4 linked regions of the Caenorhabditis elegans genome follow. Changing the gene in region 1 together with any one later gene gives a genetic interaction. Each region holds a gene or a part of one and is shown on either strand. Other genes may lie near its edges. The genes, in order: clk-2, pros-1, yju-2 and B0280.9.

What was found.
Region 2: changes in clk-2 (region 1) and pros-1 together harm fitness more than expected from each alone (negative genetic interaction), as found in Caenorhabditis elegans (one large-scale study listed by BioGRID).
Region 3: changes in clk-2 (region 1) and yju-2 together harm fitness more than expected from each alone (negative genetic interaction), as found in Caenorhabditis elegans (one large-scale study listed by BioGRID).
Region 4: changes in clk-2 (region 1) and B0280.9 together harm fitness more than expected from each alone (negative genetic interaction), as found in Caenorhabditis elegans (one large-scale study listed by BioGRID).

The regions. Positions count from the first base shown.
Region 1 is NC_003281.10:7,514,701-7,520,528, reverse strand, and holds clk-2 (Telomere length regulation protein clk-2), read left to right. Parts: upstream 1-2,004; coding exon 2,005-2,160; intron 2,161-2,211; coding exon 2,212-2,419; intron 2,420-2,470; coding exon 2,471-2,604; intron 2,605-2,651; coding exon 2,652-2,984; intron 2,985-3,035; coding exon 3,036-3,188; intron 3,189-3,237; coding exon 3,238-3,341; intron 3,342-3,385; coding exon 3,386-4,550; intron 4,551-4,656; coding exon 4,657-4,751; intron 4,752-4,800; coding exon 4,801-4,906; intron 4,907-4,952; coding exon 4,953-5,132; 3' UTR 5,133-5,307; downstream 5,308-5,828. Other genes in the region: akap-17A (RRM domain-containing protein), read left to right, coding at 5-367, 422-580, 627-752, 931-1,046, 1,089-1,173, 1,224-1,602, 1,655-1,791; cls-1 (Protein CLASP-1), read right to left, coding at 5,363-5,428, 5,473-5,828. UniProt on the Caenorhabditis elegans protein: DNA damage checkpoint protein required for DNA damage-induced cell cycle arrest and apoptosis, thereby playing a role in genome stability. Regulator of telomere length.
Region 2 is NC_003281.10:8,065,592-8,071,999, forward strand, and holds pros-1 (Homeobox protein prospero homolog 1), read left to right. Parts: upstream 1-1,697; 5' UTR 1,698-1,746; coding exon 1,747-1,805; intron 1,806-1,854; coding exon 1,855-2,005; intron 2,006-2,522; coding exon 2,523-2,669; intron 2,670-2,735; coding exon 2,736-2,955; intron 2,956-3,308; coding exon 3,309-3,493; intron 3,494-3,540; coding exon 3,541-3,763; exon of another isoform or gene 3,764-3,894; intron 3,895-3,924; coding exon 3,925-4,396; intron 4,397-4,812; coding exon 4,813-4,957; intron 4,958-5,003; coding exon 5,004-5,111; intron 5,112-5,359; coding exon 5,360-5,434; 3' UTR 5,435-5,872; downstream 5,873-6,408. UniProt on the Caenorhabditis elegans protein: Transcription factor involved in developmental processes. Controls the transcription of genes required for excretory canal formation.
Region 3 is NC_003281.10:7,182,633-7,188,403, forward strand, and holds yju-2 (Splicing factor YJU2), read left to right. Parts: upstream 1-1,703; 5' UTR 1,704-1,715; coding exon 1,716-1,745; intron 1,746-1,859; coding exon 1,860-1,921; intron 1,922-1,972; coding exon 1,973-2,043; intron 2,044-2,140; coding exon 2,141-2,319; intron 2,320-2,320; exon of another isoform or gene 2,321-2,404; coding exon of another isoform or gene 2,405-2,436; intron 2,437-2,479; coding exon of another isoform or gene 2,480-2,525; intron 2,526-2,571; coding exon of another isoform or gene 2,572-2,751; intron 2,752-2,795; coding exon of another isoform or gene 2,796-2,891; exon of another isoform or gene 2,892-2,941; intron 2,942-3,569; coding exon 3,570-3,823; intron 3,824-3,869; coding exon 3,870-4,116; intron 4,117-5,034; coding exon 5,035-5,163; 3' UTR 5,164-5,236; downstream 5,237-5,771. Other genes in the region: epg-4 (Ectopic P granules protein 4), read left to right, coding at 1-87, 133-372, 423-566, 796-985, 1,035-1,184; F37C12.14 (Ovule protein), read right to left, coding at 2,405-2,436, 2,480-2,525, 2,572-2,751, 2,796-2,891; F37C12.10 (uncharacterized protein), read right to left, coding at 5,257-5,516, 5,600-5,720; F37C12.21 (uncharacterized protein), read left to right, coding at 5,725-5,771.
Region 4 is NC_003281.10:7,120,403-7,124,776, reverse strand, and holds B0280.9 (U3 small nucleolar RNA-associated protein 18 homolog), read left to right. Parts: upstream 1-1,881; 5' UTR 1,882-1,885; coding exon 1,886-2,041; intron 2,042-2,146; coding exon 2,147-2,222; intron 2,223-2,268; coding exon 2,269-2,477; intron 2,478-2,525; coding exon 2,526-2,706; intron 2,707-2,757; coding exon 2,758-2,858; intron 2,859-2,915; coding exon 2,916-3,009; intron 3,010-3,056; coding exon 3,057-3,189; intron 3,190-3,427; coding exon 3,428-3,767; 3' UTR 3,768-3,872; downstream 3,873-4,374. Other genes in the region: B0280.2 (uncharacterized protein), read right to left, coding at 10-90; rpia-1 (Probable-ribose 5-phosphate isomerase), read right to left, coding at 619-918, 1,043-1,285, 1,333-1,485, 1,533-1,592. UniProt on the Caenorhabditis elegans protein: Involved in nucleolar processing of pre-18S ribosomal RNA.

The sequences.
Region 1 (5,828 bases):
GTAGATGACGATCCCGGGACAATCAATATCTAATTGGGATCTCATGGAAAGACTAAAACGTGCAATTGATCCAATTCAAATGGATTCTTGCAAAGTTCGTGAGAGCAATATCGACAGTGTTATTTTTGAAGCGGAACTTCTTTCGCTAGGAATCATGCAGAAAACGATGAAGATTCTCGATGGATTCTCTATGAAAGTGTCTGGATTTGCTGAGCCCTTGAAAGTTAAAACAAAAGAGGCAAAGCTTGATTTTCCAAGTCGTCATGATTGGGATGATTGGTTTATGAAACATAAGATGGACGAGATGAAACCCGGAGAACGTCCTGATACAGTTTATTTGGCAAGAATTCCAGTGAAATGGTTCTGCGTACGTTGCTCCATAACATTGCATTCGAATTTATTTCACCAAACACATTTTTAGGATGGTTACAATGATCTTCCTTCTGAACGACGTCTTCGCGTTGCAATGGAAGCGTTCGGATCTGTTAGAGTTGTCGACATTCCAATTTGTGACCCACTCCGATCTCGAATGAATTCAAAAATCTCTGGTATTCAGCAAAAAGGTTTCGGATTAGGGCAGGTATCGCAGTGTTTTATTTGTAAAATCAAACGAATTGAATTTTTAGGATGTATTTTTTGAAGCATATGTGCAATTTATGGAGTATAAAGGTTTCGCCACTGCCATGGATTCCCTGAGAAATCGTAAATGGGCAAAACGAATTGATGGACGGTTCTTTCAGGCTAATGTCAAGGTATAGTAGGGTAGTAGAGTTAGTTTGCAATTTTGAAAAATCTATCACATTATTTCTAAACGTTCAATATCAATTTTAAAAATTGCATATTCTTCGCTGAAACGAATCACCTCGTGCCACTCTACAGGTTAGTTAATTTCCCAGAATTAAGGTTGAGAAATAGCTTAAAATTTCATAGGTGGATTTCGATCGATCACGTCATCTCAGCGAAGTTCAAATTGCAAAGCGAGCGGAAGAACGACGTCAAATTGAAACGGAACGACTGCGGCAAGAAGAAGAGGAGTTGAATATCAAGTTTGTTGATGCTACAATTTTAAAAATAACTCACCTCTTCAGACGTCAAGAAGAACTGAAAGTTAAACAAGAACTCGATGATAAAGATAGAAGACGAGAAGATAGAGAACGGAAACGCCGCGAAAAGGTTCACTTGAAACGTTTCAAAAAATCATAATAAAACATACGAAATTTCAGAGGGAACTCGAACGAATGGCTGAAGAAGAGAAAAAACGCCTTGAAAAGGAACGACTTGAAGCAGAGCAACGATCACGAGCCACTCGCCGTTTGCAAGGTGTTCGTCTTTTGAAGTTTCTGTTTGAAAAAATTGAAGCACGAGAAGAGAGACGAAAGAGAAAAGAAGAAGAAAAGTTGAAAGATGAGCTGAGCAAAATCAAAGAACTTGAAGAACAACCTGTAGAACAAGAAGACGCATTGAGGCAAGCTCTACTTCAGCAGAGGGAAATTCGAATGCGAGAACGCTTGAAAGAGAAGATGAAAGCTTCAGGAGCAGAGAAGGATAAGAAGAGAGATAAAAATAAGACTTCTAGAAGAAGACGAACTAATAGACATGACAGTGAGTTACCTTAAAATTATTGTCTATTTTTTAATTAAACTTTTTTTTTCAGCTTCATCCTCTTCATCCGAAGATTCTGATTCTCCATCTGATTCTCCCCACTCTCGTCGACAAAGAAAACGTCAAAGTGAAGGAGATGATTTCCGGAGACATCATCATCGGGAGAAAAGTAGAAAACGTGGATCCTAAGAAAACGCGGATCCTATTTTTGTTTCCTATTATTTTACCGGTAATTTCACTTTTTTTAAAACATATTTTTTGATTTTTTTTTCAGAATCTCAATAAACGTATTTACCTCTATTTTTTCTCGTGCATTATTAAACCCTAACCTGGTTTAATTTACTACTCCACGTTCAATTACCTTTCCTGAACGCGAGCTTCGCATTAAAAACAAATTTTCAGATGAATTTACGAAGTCGCCTGGTAAATGCCACGGAACGTGCTGTGCTTTTTCAAATTTTCAAAGATGTGCAGAATGATCCGGAAAAGTACGACAATGCAGTTGAGGCGATCTGTGAATCAATCGACTATTTTGGCAAATTTTTGACCGATAGCGAGGTATTGTCCTGAATTCAATATTTGTGTAATGTTTTATATTTCTAATTGTAGTATCTTACACAAATCAAGCCGATTCTTGATACACAGTGCCCAACAAAGTCGATAATTTGCTTCTCGAAATGTTTGACAAAAGTGAGCACAGATATAAATACTACCACATTTCGAGATGTGATCACCATGCTCGACTGGTTGAAGTATGTCGTTGAAAAATCGCTGACAAGTGCTATTTGTAGCAGTCTGAAAGTTAAAGAAACTGATGGTATGTGATCAAAAATAATTATTCTTCAACTGAGGATTTTTGTTTTTTCAGTCAGTGCAGTTCAGTTGTATCGAGAATTCGCATCAGCATGTTCAAATATTCCGGAGAAAGTTTCGAATTGTTGTGCAAAGGCATTGTCTGGCGAGCATGTCAAATATATCAACACGGTTAAGTGGATATTCAAAGTGGGTTTATAAGTGAAATATCGAGATAGATAACTTCAATTTTCCAGATGAATCTGGTGCAAGGAATTCAAAAGGCTATGCTTCTTGCTCACGACGACATTGTAACTGCTGCCCCGTTCACTTCATTCTACGGATCCGGTGGTCCTTATATGAAGACTGTCGCAGAAATTATTTCATCTGGAAGAAACATAGATATCACCAACAAGGATGGGCTTCTAGTTCAAATGATTGAATGGATTGGTTCACTAAACAATTTTGATTCTCAATGGCGTCGGATGATGTTTCTCATCTTCCAAGAGCCCACATATCAGGGAATTCAAGTTCATGAATCACTACTGACAACATTGTTCCTAATTTCGAAAAGTGACCAAATCTTGAAAGTTAGTGGTTAAAATATAGTTGATTATATGAAAACCAGTAGTTTCTTTCAGCGATGTATCGAAGCCACTGATCTGACTGGAACACTGAAGCGTGTAGTGATGGTTAAGCTCCCGTTTCAGCGAGTTCTCAAACGAAAGACCATCGAGATTCTTATCAATTTTGTTTATCGAACTAAGGAACAATTTGCCATCCAGCTATTAGAGGTAGGGTTTTGAATCTATATTTTCCGTATTTAGCGAAGTTTTTTTCCAGACTTCTGTGAAAATCTGGAGTGATCTCAATTACGCAAAAAGTGCTCCAGAATCACAAGAACGACACATAGTCAGAATGATATTATACTTGGTTCATCTTTTCAGGTAACAAATATATTAAGAACTACAGTAATAACCTGTCCTTTTAGAACATGTTCTTCAATCGATTGGGAGTCACTCTTCCTGAACTCTATGGATGGAGTTCATTGTCGAATGAGCATGTTGCCTATGTACGTCCAAAGTGGTATTTTTGTTAATCAAGCACTGTGCAAGCAAGCGACAAAGCATCGATCGAAAACGCACGGATCAGATGAGCAACCTCCAGAGACTCTAGAAGAAAACAAATTCGTTTCAAGTGAAGTGGGAAAAATATGGTTTGAAGAGATGACGTCAATTTTGGAACATGGATTTAATTCTTCTACAGTGAAAGATTCTGAGCGAGTTCGAGAAACCGCCAACGAAATAACCAAAGACGATTCGGGTGAAGAATTTGAAGAAACCAATGCACAGCGTCTTCAAAACAACAAAGATTCGGCAGCAATCACATCGAAAAACAATCTACGTTTAGATTCTGATGATGACGAAGACTTTCCTGACTATCAAGTTAATGAATCAGAAAAGATCTTCAAGAATTTAGAAATTGGAGAAGAACCGAAAAATAAAGTGACACCTCCAGCATACATTGCAGATGCTTTCGAAATGCTATTAGAGAAAGAAAAATACGAGGTTTTTGAAGCAGCTTTCTTTAATATTACGAATTTGATCAATCGCCGGCCAATTGGATTTCCACAAATCGCTGAGAAGTTGTTCATCCGAATCCTCCATCTTCAAAACAATTTTGGAACGCCTAAATTCAAGGAAACTGTTGATGAAATTGCAGTTGCATGTATCACTCAGCGTCCAGAAATTGTCCCATCTGTAGTGCGTCTGATCATTGCACCAGGTCAAGGTTTCAGTATCAAACAACGTCTTCTTCATTACATTCACAATGCTGCTGATGGAATGGGTGCATTGGATAAGAAACTTGAAGAGTGTGTAATGGCGCAACAATTGAGAATTGGTGGTCCAACGTTAAGTATTATTCTTCATCGAACTATAAACACTGATTATGACGATGAGGATGAAGATCCCCACAGACTTTTAGTTCCTGAATGGCGACGAATGGTGGATGCTCGCATTGCTGCAAATACCAGAAGAATTGGAACGACGCGAGAGCCACCAAGAGCCGGAGTTGTCAATCGTCTCGCACAAGCTGCCAAATATATGTTTTATCCTTTGTTGGTTTTGCCACGTGGTGAGAACGCAAGTCTTTTGGTGAGTACATATGTTTCACAACTTGTCAATTCCTAGTTTATTACGTGTTTTATCTTAGCAATTTTAGAATTTAAACGTCTGATTACTCTAACTAGAAACATTTCAGGGCAAGGACTCCGATCTACTCGCCTCACTCATCATGGTTGCATCGATGGTTTATGTGAGATGTGGCGTATGTCCTCAAATTCATCGAATGTCAAGGTATACCTTTTAACAAGGTTGTGTACAAATTAGTTTTCCTGAATTTCAGTGAGCTTATATCATATGCAACGCCTCATCGATTCTCTGAAAACGCAAAACTACGGACTGCCTGCATCATTGCCCATCTGAATGTGACGACTTTGTTGCCTGGAGATGTTAGTTTGAAAATCAATTTTATTTGATGTTTAACCAAATATTCAGCTTATGGATGAACTGTTTGATGTACCGGCACTTATTGGATGGTTTGATTGGGCCAATTCTGTACTGGTTAATGCATCTTCATCACAATTGGAAAAGGATATGACTCGCCAGTTTGGTCATAGTGTTACAAAACACCTTCAACGTTATCATCCAGCTGTACTGCAACACCAAGACGTTTAAATAGTTACTATTCACTTGTTTTCCTTCTTTTCAAGTACTGTATCATTTCTTACTATCTTGCCAACACTTTGATCTCTACCTCGTTCACTTCTTGCTTTGCCACCCGTTGATATCACCTGTCTCATTCATTTATCAGCATGTTCATAATATCAAAAATAAAATCTTATCAAATGTATTTTACAAAACTGATTGAGTTGACCCGCTTGTTGAAACATTCCGGCTCTTGTGTTCTAGTTAGACGATGCTCCTGATTCGGATGACTTGGCGCGGCCCACGTACAGGTCAATTAGGTTCAGCTGAAAATCGAATGTCTCTTCAAGAAATTTAGTTAAATCCTTACTTTACTGGCATTTAAAGTTCTCAAGTGTGGCTCCATTCTTTGCATTCCAACTCTCTGAACCAGGGCGACTAATCCGAAAACTGCACATTTTCTTACTGTAGATGACATTGATTCGTAGGCAGTGACAAAACATGGTGCAACGTCATTGACAATTAAGTGTAACTCCTCAATATCAATATCTTGGAACATTCTCGTCAACATTTTCAGAATCAGAACACCACGTTGATCATCATCATCTTGACTCAAAATTCGCCTGGAGATCAGAACGACACGCGTAAGAGGCAGATGAGAAGCCAGGATTCGAAGACAATCTTCTGCTGCAACACCCATCGTGTTGTCATCAGATGTACATGCAC
Region 2 (6,408 bases), 550 kb from region 1:
CAGCACTACAGAAACTTATAGGATATGCTTTTGATTTCTGTATTTTCTAAGAAAACTACTTGAATATATTCTTCTGAAAATTCAATGTGCATCTGGAATTCTTTTGACAGTGCAGACTGCGAAAATGCCTCTATGCCTGCGATGCTCAAAACTTCATGAACCCTAGTGTTTGAAAAAGCTTTCACAGTTTGGAAAAAACCACAATTAGGGATCAAAATCAATATTTACAAAAAACCAAAAAGATTCGCTTTCAATGCGACCTACGCCTAGTTTACCACCTAGTTTCCTACGAGTTATGACTTTTAGCAAAAACTCTTCAAAGCACAGGTAGGTAGGTACAAAAATGACTGAAAATGTTAGAGTTTATGCTGACGCGGCCCACCAGGTTGCGTACGTACAGGCGTTATTGCTTCAATGATCCTAAGTATACACAAAGATAAGAATTTAGAAAAACTTAACTGGAAAATAAAAGCTCAGCCATTTTTTCGAGAATTTAATATAAAATTTTAAAAATCAGAAAAAAAATAAGTACAAATCTCAAAATCTTTCTAGAATGTTCTTCGAAAAAAGAAGACGTTGACGAAATTAAGAATTCAATCTTCGTCCATTGTTCTGCCAAGTGCATAAGATTCTTCTCTTCTCTCAAATTTATACGATGAAAAATTAATGTTTCTTCCGATATTCTTCTTTTCACACAATTTCTTTTTCTTATTTATATTCTAAAACGAAAGTGTCAAGGGAGAAGAAACTAAAAAAGGAGAAATGTTTAGGAGTCATGGTGATTTGAAAACTTTGAAGTATACTTCTATATGTCCTCCTGTCCTAGGTCTCCTCTTGTCCCATTAAAACTTCACACATTTTCTTTCCCAAAAACTTTAGTCTTCTTAAGAATGACGTGAAATTTATGGGAGAATTAAAGAATGCTCCTCTCAAATTTCTTTCTGTTTCTCTCAAAAACTACCGTAGTCGTCCCCAATCGTCTCCATTTTCATCTTCTTCAACCTTCTCCAGAGACCCATTACCTAAATTGTTTCTTGTGAGCTACACATATGTGCCTCCTTTTGGCTCCTTTTAGTCACTCAGACAAATCTCTTCCTTTTTGCTTTTCGCAAAAGGAAATTAGTTTTCCACTTAGGTTCTCAGCATTTTCAAATTTTATTGGAAATTTTCCGAAGCTCCATTGGTCTTGAGCGAAGAGTTTTTGTAAAAAATGGTGCTAAGAGAAATCTTAGACTCTCTATAACTTTTAGCGATCTTGATTGAAGTTTTTTCTGATCCCGTAAGATTTAGAGAATTCATACACGACATGACGCCTAAGTACCCTATAGATACTGTAGACGTCTTCCAGTAAAACATCTGAAAGTTGTTTCGGTATGGAAACAGAGATTATGCTAATAAAATAATTCGGCAGAAAGTGGCAAGTCACTTGTCTTCGCCCGTTTCCTTTTTTGCATAATCCTACTTACGACCGTTATGATGTTGATGATGATCGAAAAGATTAGATGTATTTTTGAGTATGACATAACAAAAACTTTCAAGTTGTTACCGTAATCCACCCCCTTCAATTTCAATATGTATATCCTTGGCTCTTGTATATGTGTATGTATATTCTGATTTAATAACATTTCGACTCCCCACTGTGCTTTTCTTGCCTTCTCTTTATTCGTATTCAATTTCAATTCTTTATTTTCTTTCAGGTATTCCAATTCCAATTGTCAAGAATTCAGATAGCTAGTGACGTCATCAATGTCATCTGGATTGCCTTCGATTGCTGCTACCGCACAACCGAGTGCCAACGGATTCAGGTAACAGACTTTTACCCTGGAACTCTTTAAAAAACTAACAAAGTTTTAGCTTTAACAACGGATTCCCACCATTCGGTATTTACTACTCTCAACTTCCCCCTGTTAACTCTAACGGATCCACCCCGAATTCAAGTAACCGATTCAAAGTGAAACGCCATCGACAGAGAGTTGACGCCGGTGAACCAAGAAACACATATCAGGTAGGCAAGAAACATTTTTAAACCGGCAATACAATACTCCGGACTTTTGTCTTGCATCTCCATTTCTCACCTTTCAAAGCTTATCTCTCTCTGAATTTTTGACGAAATCAAAATGCCAAACGCAAAACCAAACGCATATAAGTTTTCAAAGTAGATTTCAGTTAACTCAGTTAATTAGTAGTAGCTTTAGTTAACTGCAACGTAAATGTTGGAAACTTTAAAGTTGACAAAAATGGTCAAAACTAAATTTAACTGTACTGTAAGTTGGTATGTTTTTCTTGGCAAAGTAGTTCAAGGAAAACACAGTTTTCTAACTGAAACGTTTGATAATCCCGACAAAATCGAAAAAATAAATATGCAAATCTACGTGTCATAATCATAAGATAAGTGTCTTCCTGTATTTCGGCGGCGACATATACATTGTTCCTTTACTTTCCCATCAACTAATATATTCATTTCGTGGCGGTTGCTAATCAGCTCATCTCATTCTCTCTTTTACTCCTTCATTTTATTCCAGGGAGCCTCTACATCAGTCTCTTCAAATAGTTCTTCATCATCGTCTACATCAAATACAAATTCAACACCTTCTTCATCTTCAACATCTTCAAAGAAGTCAACGGAAGGGATGACTGAGACGGAAACGATGACAGCTTCAATTGAACAGGTACGAGAAGAGAGAGGAAGAGGGGATAATAAGATTAGCCTAGTTATTTATGATACTTTCTTATAGGAAAAAGTGATTCAAAATGAAGAATCGGAAGCTGGTAAAGATGGAATGGAAGAGCATGATGATGGAATGAATGATTTCGAAATTATTGATGATACAAATGATGAAGTTGAAGAATCAGAAGAACGGGAGAGCCCTGAAAGTAACAGTAGCTCTGCTTCAAAAAGGAAAAGCTTTCAACCACAGAAAATTGGAGAGGAGTTAGGAATTGAATTTGGAGATGGTTAGTTTTATTAATTGATGTATCATATTACCGTTGTTCTTGCATACTTACTTACTTGTTAGGTATTCAGTAAGTCAGTAAGTTTGTTAGCTAGTTAACTACTACTTCACTTTGAAAAAAAAATTCTCACTTCCTTTTAAGCAAATCAATAAATATTACACTACAAAACGATAGTCATAACAAATATTTTGTCAGTTGACAACTTTTGAATAGAATCAACGACCTTTGAAATACATATAAGCTGTCAAATTTGTAGTACAAAAATAATAGAAAACATTAACTTGATCATAAACTTGACTCATAAACTTGACTGTCTTAACTTAAAAGAAAATTTAATAAATTCAATTTTGCAGAAACGGAGCAAATTAATGTTACTGTTGGAGGTACAGAAGAAGCCGAAGAGACTACAGATGAAGCTGAAGGTAGAGAACTCTCGGCTCTTCAAGCTCAGCTTCAAAATGGACATATCGCTGAGCAGCAGAGACGATTTTATGCTGCATTTTTAGATCAGCAACGGAAACAGGTTGCAGCGGCACAGGTATACAATTAAAATGTTCATTAACTTTCTAAACTGAAAATGTTTAGATTTTGCACAATGGAAAGATCAACATCGAACGTCTTGTCTCCTCGGTTAAAGGAGATTTAGTTACCAATTTCATGAAAGATTTGGAAAAGGTGATCCGTGATTGGGCTGCCGATGAAGTATTAAAGCAAGAAGCTGCTGCTCCTCCTCAGATTCCACAACCTCCACCTCAATTCCATCCAATTTTCCCTGCAAACCCATTGTTCCACATGGCGCCTCCACATCGTAAGTTATTTACACAGCTTTTCTATTTGCCCTTTGACCAGAAAAATGTCGGCCGAATGGTCTAGTGGTATGATTCTCGCTTTGGGTGCGAGAGGTCCCGGGTTGAATCCCCGGTTCGGCCCAACATTTTTTGAAAAAATATTTGCTTTTTGCTCTTGTAGATCCAGTTGCTGGAGGTGGAATTTTTCCTCCAAACTTCAATGCATTTAACGCATTCAACGCTCTCCGAAGAAATCTTCAAGACGTAGATACCTCGTCGGAAATGAAAAAGAAGCGAACAAAGGTGGAAATCAAGAAAGAAGACGCAATGAGTAGCCGTGCATCACCATTGAGTGCATCTGCCAGCCCACCACTCTCCAGATTCTTTCCAGCACCAACTATGGTTGGACACTACGGTGGAATGAACTTTGGAGATCGAGAGGACTCACCAACAAATTCCGATGAGCTCAGTGAATGTGGATATGAAGGTGGTGGCTCAAGTTCAATGTTAACACCAATGCACTTGAGAAAGGCAAAGCTGATGTTTTTCTACACACGATATCCAAATTCAAATCTGCTGAAATCGTATTTCCCTGATATCCGATTCAATAAGAATAACACTGCACAATTGGTGAAATGGTTCAGTAACTTCAGGTTGGTTTTAATAATGAAAATTCTTCTCTGGTACTCGCCATTGATTTCTTAACTTCATGGTTATCTCCTGTTGTTTTGTTGTTTGGAGTCATAATGACCTTTCCCATTACAAATACTGCTTCATAATTCGAAAAAGTGATGAGGTGAAAAAGAAAACAAACAAATCCTCGTCTCTCTCAGTCCAACTCGTTTCGTTTCAAACAATGAGAAAAGGGTCTTAAGGTGTGATACGCGTCGTTGGCGAAGAAAAGACATCATCATGTCGACGTCTTCATCATAAAAATGTGGGCAAAAAAAGAAAATGAAGAAGGAGAAGATTATTTATATTTGAATTGGATTCAGGAGATGAAGTTAGGCAATGGGGAGACGAAATCAAATAGGTTCTTCTTATACTGTACCAACTCAAATATTTTCAGAGAGTTCTACTACAATCAGATGGAGAAGTTCGCGAGACAAGCTCTCGCTGAGGGAATTACTGATAGAAATGATATTTTTGTGTCAAAAGACAGTGAACTTTTCAAAGTTTTGAATACACATTATAACAGAAATAATCATATTAAGGTACGGTTTCTTTTCGTAAGCAACACTAAATTTATATAATTTGCAGGCACCAGATCGTCTTGTATTTGTGGTTCAAGAGACTCTTCGTGAGTTTCATGATGCAATCAAACAGGGAAAAGATATTGAACCATCATGGAAGAAAACAATCTATAAGGTAGGTAGGAGTGCCTTCATAACAGAGTTCTAACAATAAGACAGTAGGCACGCGTGTAGGTATGTGATGGGCGTTGCCTACGAGCAGGTCTGCATGAAATGGTAGGCGCACATGTAGGCATGAAACAGGTGCACAAGGCAGGAGTGGCAATTTTTGAGTTTCTCAATTGGTGCTCAAATATTTTGAAAGCTCTAAACTTTTGTGTTTTGCCATATTCCAATAGAAAATCAAACTTACCCTTTTTGCAGGTTATCAATCGATTGGAAGATCAGATTCCCGACTTCTTCAAGGAGCCAAACTTCCTCGAGCGTCTTGAAACATAATCACCATATATTCCCTCTCATTATCAGTTTCTCAATATTTCAGTTTTCCTTGTTTATGTGTTCCATTGTGATTTTAAAACTTTATTGCCCATGTTTTCCCTCATCCCATTCGAATATCAATTACCCCATCCAATTTAACTCTCATTCCTTGACAACTTTCATTCTAAGTCCCCATTTCAAAATGTGCAATTTAATATTTATTTGAGCTCTCTGGAGCTCGTCTTCCTCATTTTCTTTGTCAAACGCTTTTTGTGTTATTGGTTTCAATTGAACATTCAAAAATTCCCAATTTTGCCACATGGCATAATCCTCCAATTCTATTATGGTTTCCATTTTCCCCAAAACTTTCTGTGCCTCCGATTTCTATATTTTCATTCGATGTTTCTTATTGTAATATTGGTATGGAAAATATGGAACATTCAATATCACTTGCGGTCCTATAATTAAAACCAGAAACCTACATGCATCTGGCCCGGAAAAAAACAGTATGCAGACTTCTTATCGGTGTGGCTAATAGTCAGTTTTGCTATTTTTGCTCCTATAACACGGCACACGGTCTCACGATATTTTTATTAAGTTCCAAAAGGTGTGCACCTTTAAAGAGTACTGTAACTTCAAAATCTCGTTGCTGCGAAATGAAAGAAACAGGATAAAAGTGAAAGAAAATTCTGCAGAAATGAATGTTTGAAATTACAGTACTCTTTAAAGCCACACACCTTCTCGCATTTGATAAACATTTGTCGTATCGAGACCGGATACCGTACTTTTGGTACAACATCGCAAAATTTCTCGCCCGTGTAATAATAATCTTTAAATAATGTTAAGGTATACCCCCTCTTGTGTGCAATTCATAAATGGCGGCCGAGTGATAAAAAAAGGAAAAGTTTCCATTTTTTAGTAAGATGTTCCAATTTTGGTTCGAAAATAAAAACAAAAAAGATAACAAGTAAAACTGTATATTTTCAGAATACATA
Region 3 (5,771 bases), 330 kb from region 1:
AACAGTTTTAATGATGAGACGAGAAAAACAAGGAATTTTCAAAAGACCTCCTGAACCACCGAAGAAGAAAGATAGCTTTTTGAAAAAGTATTTTATACTTACATGTTAAAAACTGAATAAATTTTATTTCAGACTCTGGCAAATCTATGCTATGAATATCGGTTTCTTGGTTCTGTGGCAGGTCTGTATATTGATTCTTGGTCTATTCTTCAGCTTTTTCGATCGAACTGATTTGGGTCACAATATCGGCTACATTCTGATTATTCCCATCTTTTTTGCTTCTCGAATCATTCAGGCACTTTGGTTCTCAGATATTTCAGGAGCCTGTATGAGAGCTCTAAAATTGCCACCACCACCTGTCGTTCCTTTTAGGTTAGTTTATTTAATAATTATTTCAAAAAAATAAAACTAAAAAATTTCAGTTCTATGTTAGCGGGAACTCTCATTTCTGCGCTCCATCAAATTTTTTTCCTCATTCAAGGAATGCTTTCGCAATATCTTCCAATTCCTCTTATCACACCAGTTATCGTTTATCTTCATATGGCTCTACTTAACTCAATGTACTGGTAAGTTTTAAACATTTTTTTTACTAAAAATAAATCAAAGTTTCGATAAATTAAATTTTTGCCAATCAGTCAATTTAATGCTTTCTCAGCACCTCTCCAATGGAATGTATCAAAAATTGAAAATAGAAAAACAACAGAACCACCAATATCGCCAAAATTTCTAAAATAAGAATGGTAAAAAAGATTTAGCTGAAACTTTGAAAATCAAATAATATTAATAATATTTCAGTTTCGATTACTTCTTCGACGGTTACAACCTTTCATTCCTTCGACGCAAAGATATTTTCGAATCACACTGGCCGTACTTCCTTGGTTTTGGAACTCCCCTGGCACTTGCTTGCTCAATCAGCAGTAATATGTTTGTGAACAGTGTCATTTTTGCACTTCTCTTCCCATTTTTCATCATCACCAGCTATCCGGTTCGAAATTAATTTTAAATTTAAAAATTGAAAATTTTGATAGTTTCAGGCAAATTGGAATAGAAAATACGAAGAGGAAATTCCGAAAATTGCATTCTGCCGTATTTCATACATGTTCACTGAACTTGTTGGAAAATTCGTCAAAAGCATTACACCAACCAATAATCCAACTGCTGCTCGAAATAACGCTCAAAATTAGATGTAAAATATGTTCAAAAGGGTTCAAATTCTCGTGCCATTTATTTTTAACTTTTTTCGTTATCTTTTTCCCAAATGTGCCACTCAAAAATATGAGTATAATTTATGTCACTTCTAGTGCATCCTCAGTTCCAAAAACCTGATTTTCCTGTACATTTTGATATTTCTTGTACATATTCTTACACTTGTGCTCATGCCCATTCACTCAGTTTTTGAATAAATTACGGCTAAATCAATTATTTTTTGCTACTGTGTTTTTGCAGGTTTTTTTTCCATCGCTATTTACTTACCATTCTTTCATAATTTTGATATTACTGTGAATGTAATTGCAACAAATCTTTTTCTACGGGATCTGTGTTTCTACAAAGTGTGTAAGTGTAAACACGCTCCAGTGCAAATGTTCTCTGCGTCTCTGAGTTACATAGAGTCTCTAGGTTTCGAAACAAAATATTGTGAATATTGACGTTTATTTAGTTTTTCTCAAATTCTACCAATACATTTATTTTTATTTTGAATTTACAGGTGATCAACAATGACAGGAACCGAGAGAAAAGTTTTCCAGGTGAGGAAGATTCTAAAGTACTATCCTACATGCTTTTTTGCTAGTTTAAATATGAAAAATTGCAGAAAAAACAGTTAAAAAAGAGTACCTTTGTTAATTTATTTCTAACTTCAGAAATACTATCCACCGGATTTCGATCCATCAAAAATACCACGAGCAAAGGGACAGAAAAACAGGTTAGTTTTGTTTTTAATTTAGTTCTTCATTTATTTTTTTTCGTTTTACAGACAATTCGTTCAACGTGTTATGACACCATTTAACATGCAATGCAATACATGCCATGAGTATATTTATAAAGGTAATTTGTGATTTTGTTCACTGAAGCAAAAAAAAACCATTAAAAAAATAAAATTTTAATCTCCAAAAAATCTTTATGTGTTATTCTAAATTTTCAGGTAAAAAGTTCAACATGAAGCGTGAAACGGCTGAAGGAGAAACGTATCTCGGTTTGAAACTGTTCCGATTCTATTTCCGATGTCCTAATTGCCTCGCTGAAATTACTTTCAAGACTGATTTGGAAAACTGTGATTATCAGAATGAGCATGGAGCAACAAGACTTTTTGAAGCTGTCAAAGTGAGTGTTTAGATAATTTTTATTTGAAAAAGCACAAAAAACTTTATTTGCAAATAAGTTATGTTGAGTTATACATTTTTAGTAGCTAACAGTCCATACGAGTGAGCTGAGGCATATCTGAATTATAAAAAATATTATGTTTTTGAGTATTCCGACGTACCTGAGTAGTCAGCCTTTTCCACTTTGAAGTCATACTCTGAATTCTCCTAAAAATACAATTTATTTTGAAATCCATATACTTTGGAATCTTACCCTCTTAAAATCTAGGTGACTGCTATTTTCAACTTCGATTTCCATTGGCTTTTCTGGTTCCAAAAGATGCATAGGTTGATCTTCAGTCAGTTGAATAATATTTGAATAAAATGTATTTAGATTAGGAATCGAAAATTTCCACATCTGATTTTGAACTTGACTGTACATAATCACTGGGCTCTAGAAATGCGATATAGACCTTAATTGTCTGAATCTGTACTCACCGAGATTGAAAAAAATGTGTAGATACTTGTAGGTGGTGGACACCAAATGCCATTTAGTGGTGCAAAGTAATAGAAATTGGGAAGAGGCGTTGTCATGAGAATGATTATTTCAAGATGATCTCTGTCAAAAATAAAAGATGAAGGAAGTGACATAGAAACTAAGAATAATTGCATTGGCTATGAAAGCTTGGCTAGGCAGCAGAAAAACTTCAATACTTGACGGTTTCAGGATTCAAAGAAAACCATAGAGATTTATTTATGAGAGTGTTTTTCGACAAAAAATCTTTGAAAATACTACGGTATGCCACGAGAAATCATTAGAAAGATGAGAAAAGGCTGTGGGTGTGTATAATTGAAGAGTTTGAGATGTTTCCTCGGCAACAAAGAGCTTATGAGAACAATGACAGGATATAGAAAAGGATTAGATTAAATATATGAGAAGGAGTGACTATGAAACATTTAGTTTGAAAATTCCAAAAAAAATTATGAGGTCATGATAAATCTAACCGTTGGAAAGAAAACAACTAGTTATAAAAGATAATTATATAATCAATATTTTTCACAAAAATTGACCAAATTAGCTTTCATTTTAGTTAAAACCTTTGAAAAATGCTCAAAAATTGTCTGAAAGTAGTGACAAATGCCCGGAATTTTCCGAGAAGTTCCAACTTTTCATTTTTAATATTAAAAAATTATCTGGATCATCTAAAATTTGAAAGTTTTTGTCCAAAAATTCGAATAAAAGATATGCAACGTTTATAATTTAATTTTCAGCTTTACCAAGATCAACAAAAACAAGTGGATGAACAAGAAGCAGAAGATGCGAAGGATCCCATGAAAATGCTCGAAAAGAGAACAATGCAAAGTCGTCAAGAAATGGAAGAAATGGGAAATCTGGAAGATCTTCAAGAATCAAGCAGAACGAAAGAATGTATCGACACCATTGGTTTCTTGTCGTCAACTGATCCTCATATCGCACAAGCTCAGAGAATTAAAATGATGGAGGACGAGGATGATCGAATGGCAAGGTATGTCAAGATATTAAAAGAAATTAGAAAAATCAAGAATTTTCAGAGAACTCATGGGAATCACTTCAGAAGGACGAATCGAGCGACGTATTAAGGATGATGAGGATAACTCAGATGGTGCAGATGAAGATGATAAAGATATTCCTGGTCCAAGCGCATCGGTTGTTCCATCTACTTCTTCCATGCTTAAACCAGCGATCCCGAAACTTGGAATGGATGATTCAGGGAATTCAAGAAAACGAAATGAGCAGAGAGATCGATTCGCGGGAATAAAATTGATCAAAAAAGCGAAGGTATGAAAATAAGAAACGGATTCGATATTTTGTAGTTTATCGCAATATACATCAATACTTTCTGATCTTTTTCAAGGCCGAGAAAACGAAAATTTTCGGTTTTCCGTTTTGCTAGAAAATCGTTTATCCAGAAATTATTTCAAAAATAGTGAAATTTCTGATGAGGTAGGGTATCAGAAAAGTAATCCATTTTGAGCAGAAAAAAAGTGTAGAAGCAGCCCACACGTCAGGGAGTCCATTTAAATTTTGTATCCACTGGATACATCACTCAAATTTTTTTATTGGCGTAGGCGCATGTTCTTTGAAATTTCTGTTTTTATTTTCACTACAATATTTTTTAAAACAAATTTTGCAGTTGTTAAAAATTATGTCTTCGAAACTTGACTAATTATTTTTTTTAGTACCCGACCGCGATATTTTGTGATTTTTGCGCAAGAAATACGGCATCCCGTCTCAACACGCATTTCTTTGTAAAATACGAACAGGTGTGCACCTTTAAGGAGTACTGTAATGTCAAACTTTCGATGCTGCGGAATTTTCATCTACTTTTCAGTTTTTTTTCAATTTGGTAAACTTTGTGTGGTTTAAATTGTTTTATTTAGTTGTTTAAATAATAATAATAATAATTTATTACGCTCGCTGGGAGACGTGAAGGAATACAGAATACAAAAGAATAAATAAGTATAATTTTAACGAAAAACTACTGCGAAATCATTGAATCAAAGCTATGAAATCACAGTATTCTTTAAAGGCACACACCCGTTTGTATTTTATAAATATTGTCGTGTCGAGACCGGGGACCGTCTTTTGTAGCAAATTTACGTGTCTGATTGTGAATAATATGGGAACATGAAAAAAAATTCAAATCTGCAGAGCATTAATAAAATTTGACCTAGTTACATAATTTATTATTTTCAGCCATCTGAACCTTCTACATCTTCTACTGCTTCATCTACATCGTCGGCTCCTCCTCCGCTACCATCTTCAGCTGCTTCATCGGGACTTTCACTTCTCGCAGATTACGGATCTGGTTCTGACTCTGATTAACTCTTTTCTGTAGATAATTTTCATTCTTTCGAATTGAAACAAAAAATCAATTATAAATTTCATTCCAAAAAGTACACAAATTTTTTAATCATATCAGGCTACCGCTGCTGCCACGAAAACAACCAATTTCTCATTTGGCGCCTGCACGAAACACAAATTCTGGGAAGATCTGTTGGGACCAGGATCCGTGTCAGCTGTCGTCCTACTGTAGTTGATCGTGTTCACTAACCAAATGGCATTACGGTAGCCCGAAACTTGATCTTGAACTGATTTATTGATGTCATCAACAGTTCGATATTGTTGCAAAGCTGATTGGACCATTGCAAAAAGTGTTGGATCTGGACAAATCCATACTGAAAAAACTTGGAAAAGATTTTTTGGAAAGTAAAGTTAACTTCGATATTCTAACAGATTCTACAATATCTTACGTACCGACCTATTAAATTTATAATCTGTTGATCATAACTTGCTTTGACAGTAACACCCATTGGAGCAGTTGAACCGATTCGCAATAAAGAAAGAAAACAAAGAGCAATTATAATAAATCCCGCTTTCATAATGATGAACCAAATTGTTAACACCGATAAAACTGTAAAAAAGGAGCTGAC
Region 4 (4,374 bases), 390 kb from region 1:
AAATCATACCTTATCGCTTGCCGATATTCCTCTTAGAACACTATTTTTTTCGTTGATCTCGAGGAAATCACTCAATTCAGATGTAATCATTTGGAAATTAAAATTTGAACAATCTGGAATGAATAGAATACGAATGATACGATTTGACGAAAGTGCTTTTTAATACAGCAATTGTTAAAAATTTTGAAATATTTACTTATTTCCCAACTTTATCAGTATTTTTGAAATTATTGCTCGCTCTTAATTTTACCGCCTCCAATGAGTCATTTAGGAAGCAAATTCTCATTTCTTTCAATCTTTAAGCTATCCTCGCCATTCATACACTTCAAGACTACTGTAATTTGAAATTAAACAGTTTCAGACACTTTACATCCAGACACTTTACATTTCAAAACGTTTTCAGAGTTTTCTAATTTTTTTTTCAGTTTTTTAAGAAAGACGTTTTTTCAACACAATTTTTATTGGGGCTATTCTAAGAACTACACGTATACTAGGAACATTGGGAATGAATGGGTACAATTTTCACAACAACTGGGAAGAGGAAAAGTGAAGTTTGGAGAGTGTGGTGGTGATAAGAAACAACTAATTTTCAATATGAACAAAATTCGATGCAAGTAGTCAGTGCTTCTTGGAATTGACAATTTCCTTGACAGATCCGTCAGAGTACGCGAAGAATACTGCGTCGACGCAACCGATGAATAATCCGGTTTCAACAATTCCTGGTGTATTGGCCAATCGTTGCTGAATCGCGAACCAATCTCTTCCGGATACGTTTTTCTCGAACTGCCAATCAATAATGAAGTTTCCATTGTCTGTCACAATTGGTCCGCACTTTTTGACAGCTTGTCGAAGTTGACAGCTTCCACCTTCAGCGCGTGGAATCGAACGTAGAAGTGGTTGAGCAGCAAGAGGTAGAACCTGCAATAAATCTCATTAAAAACAGTCAACATAACTACATCTATTTAGAAAAAACTATTGTTCTAAAGTTTATTCTTTAGTGCATCTTTCTTTACTGATAATTATAAAAAGTTAAATAATTTACCTCAATTGGGACATTCGGATAGCGATCACCCAAGTGTTTGGAATCTTTTAAATAATCAGCGATCACGTAAAAGTTTTTTGCAGCGGTTTGAACAATTTTTTCTTGAGCCAGACATCCACCTCCGCCTTTGATGCACGTGAACTGTCCGTCAACTTCATCAGCTCCATCAATACACACATCCAGTTCTGGATGTGAATCCAAATCGGAGACAGGGAGACCAGACTCAATCAGCCATTGTTTTGTCTGAAATACTTATTTATAACAATTGGGTTTGTTGAAAATCTGTTTACCAAAAAACTGGTTGGAACACAGATGATATCCTTGAGACTTCCATTCTGAAATCCTTGTTTAAGATATTCTACCAAATACTTGACAGTGCTTCCGGATCCAACACCAAGACGGCAACCACTTTGCACATATTTTTCACCGCAGGCAAACGCAGCCTGAAATGATTAATGAGGGTTGGAATTGGTCTTAATTTTTGACTTACTCGTTTCTTCGCCTGCTCAATAGGAGCCAGTTCTGCTTCAGGGCCGGTGGAGGTGACCATTCTGGCGGTTCGCAATACTCCTGATAATGGAAATTTTGTAGAAAACATACAAAAATGCTGAAAAGAAAACGAAAACAATAGTAAATTGATAAGAAAGACTGAAATTTTCAGCTGAAATACTGAAATTAATGAAATTCTGCATTGAGACGTGACGGTGTTTGCACTAAAACTACGATAACACACACTATTTGACGACAATTGCTTCTCATTTTTCTTTTTTCTTTTCCGAATTTTCTTTAATTTTCAGCTTATTGAATCTTTCATTAAGGTTATTTTGAACAATTTTCAGAGAAATGAGCAAACGGCCAGTGATTGAGTCTGAAAAGCCTGCGTGGCACGATGAGGACGACGATAATATGGTTGTGGCGGTTCCAAAAAAAGTGAAAATGACAATGCGAGTTGAACTCAAGCGAACCACAGACGAAGAACATGGAGAATTGGATTCAAAGGTAAATTTTTTTTAGAAATACGTTATTCAACGTGTAATAAAGATTATATAATTGAAAATAGGCAGAAGGATAAATTACTTCTGAAAAATAATTTTAATATTTTAGGAATACGTTGGTAGATTGCAAGAGGCGTTCAGAAAACGCCACGGAGGCACACCAAAATGGGCTAAGGCTGCTGCAGGTTTTTGGAAAATCAATAGTTCAAAAATCGTATTTTACAATTTTAGGAGACGAAGAAGAAGGGTCATTGTTGAAAACTGCTGCCGGATATTTGGCGAAAGACGTGAATTTACCAAAAACAACTATTCATACAACTCTTATAAAAGATTTCAACATCGGACACCGATACACTCGTGGAATCACTGTTGTTAAATTTCATAAAACCCGACCAGTGCTCATTGTTGCCGATCAAGGTGGAAATGTTCAACTTTTTAAAGTAAGTTGTGTTTTCTGTTTTAATTAAACCATTCCTTACTTATTTCAGGTAAGTCGTGAGGTTAAAAAGGATCGTTTCCTTCAAAGTGCGAATTTCTCAAAATTCCCGATTGATAGTCTGGAAATTGCTGATAAAGGACACTCTGTGATCTGTTCTTCAAGCCGAAAGGAATATTTGATGCAGTACAATATGGAAACAAGAGAAGTGACACAGTTGAAACCTCCAAACAGTACGTTTAATATTTAATAAAATTTGAAGCAAAACTTTGAACATTTTACAGCAGTACCAAAGCAAGGAATTCGGCTCTTTGCCATTTCGCATGACTCTCAATTTTTGGCAATTGCAGGACACAATTCTCACATCTATGTTCTCCATGCTACTGTATGTCAAAAAATTAAATTATTGGCAAATTAAAAGTTTAAATGTAAAATGTTTCAGTCGATGGAGCATATCACAACAATATCACTCCCAGCAAATGCGTCAGAAATCAAGTTTTTCCCATCGCACAGCCGTGAAATTTGGATCATCTGCGGTTGGTTTTATATTGCCAAAAATTCAAAAATTATTCGAAATTTCTAGAGACCGGCCAAATTGTGATCGCAAACATTGGATTGCCGGGAACCAAATCATCGCAACATACATTCACCGACGATGGAGCTGTGCACGGAACAACACTCGCCATCAGCCAACATGGAGATTACTTTGCGACTGGGTAAGCTTTTTTAAAATCAAACTTTTATAATTCGTAAAATCACGATACTGTCATTCATTCATATAATTCATATATTAATATAATTGTACAGTTTGCTACATCTTTTTTTTTGTTGATATTTTCAGTTTAGCAACAAAAATTTAAAAAAAAAAATCTTTTTTTGTTGAATTCCGGTGAAAATAAATGACCTAGTCTTTACATACATCCTGATTATATGATGAAAATTTGAAATTTCCAGAAGTGATACCGGAATCGTGAATGTCTATTCTGGAAATGATTGCCGCAATTCTACAAATCCTCGTCCACTTTTCAATGTTTCTAATCTCGTCACCGCGGTCTCATCAATCGCTTTCAATTCTGATGCTCAATTGATGGCAATTTGTTCAAATGTCAAGGACAATCATCTTCGTCTCGTCCACGTGGCAAGTCAGACAACATTCAAAAACTTCCCGGAAAGAAACGGAAAAGTGACACATGCAAGATGTGTGGAGTTTTCTCCAAATGGAGGATATATGGCCGTTGGAAACGATGATGGACGTCTTCATGTTTTTGAAATTCATCATTTTACAGACTATTAATTGGTTCTAACATTGTTATTCTTTTCTTTGTCGTTGATTTCGTCCAAATTGTTTTGTTTTTATTCTTCATCCGTTTTTTTGTTGTTATGAAAATTTATCGTTTTTATTCCAACTTCCAGAGCAGCTTTTGAACCACTGGAAGATTTAAAAATACAAACCGACGTTTGCACAAAAAATTCAAAAACAGTTGAACGTAGTCCTAGTCTGTACCGAAAAATGACTTGATCGTTCTTTGTACACTATAGTGACATAGAATTGTCTCAATAGTCGCCAGTTAGAAAAGGGTTGAACAACACAACGAACGATCGAAAATGACGAAAAATTAACAATGAATGTCAGTTTTTCACGTGAAGTCTGGTAGAATTAGTATAAGAGGAACAAGAAAAGTTTAATTTGTTTCTCCAAAGTCCGTTTTTCGGCAGATTTTTCACTGGAGCACAATAACCAATGGTCTCTTACCGACCTACTTGTCACCCGATTTTATTGTGTTTTGATGTCTTAATTCTAGAATTGTGATCGTTGATTATTTGATTGAGAGGAAAACGAATTCAGATTTCTTATCGAAAAACCTACAATTATAACTTTTCCGATCTGTCAATTTGGCCAT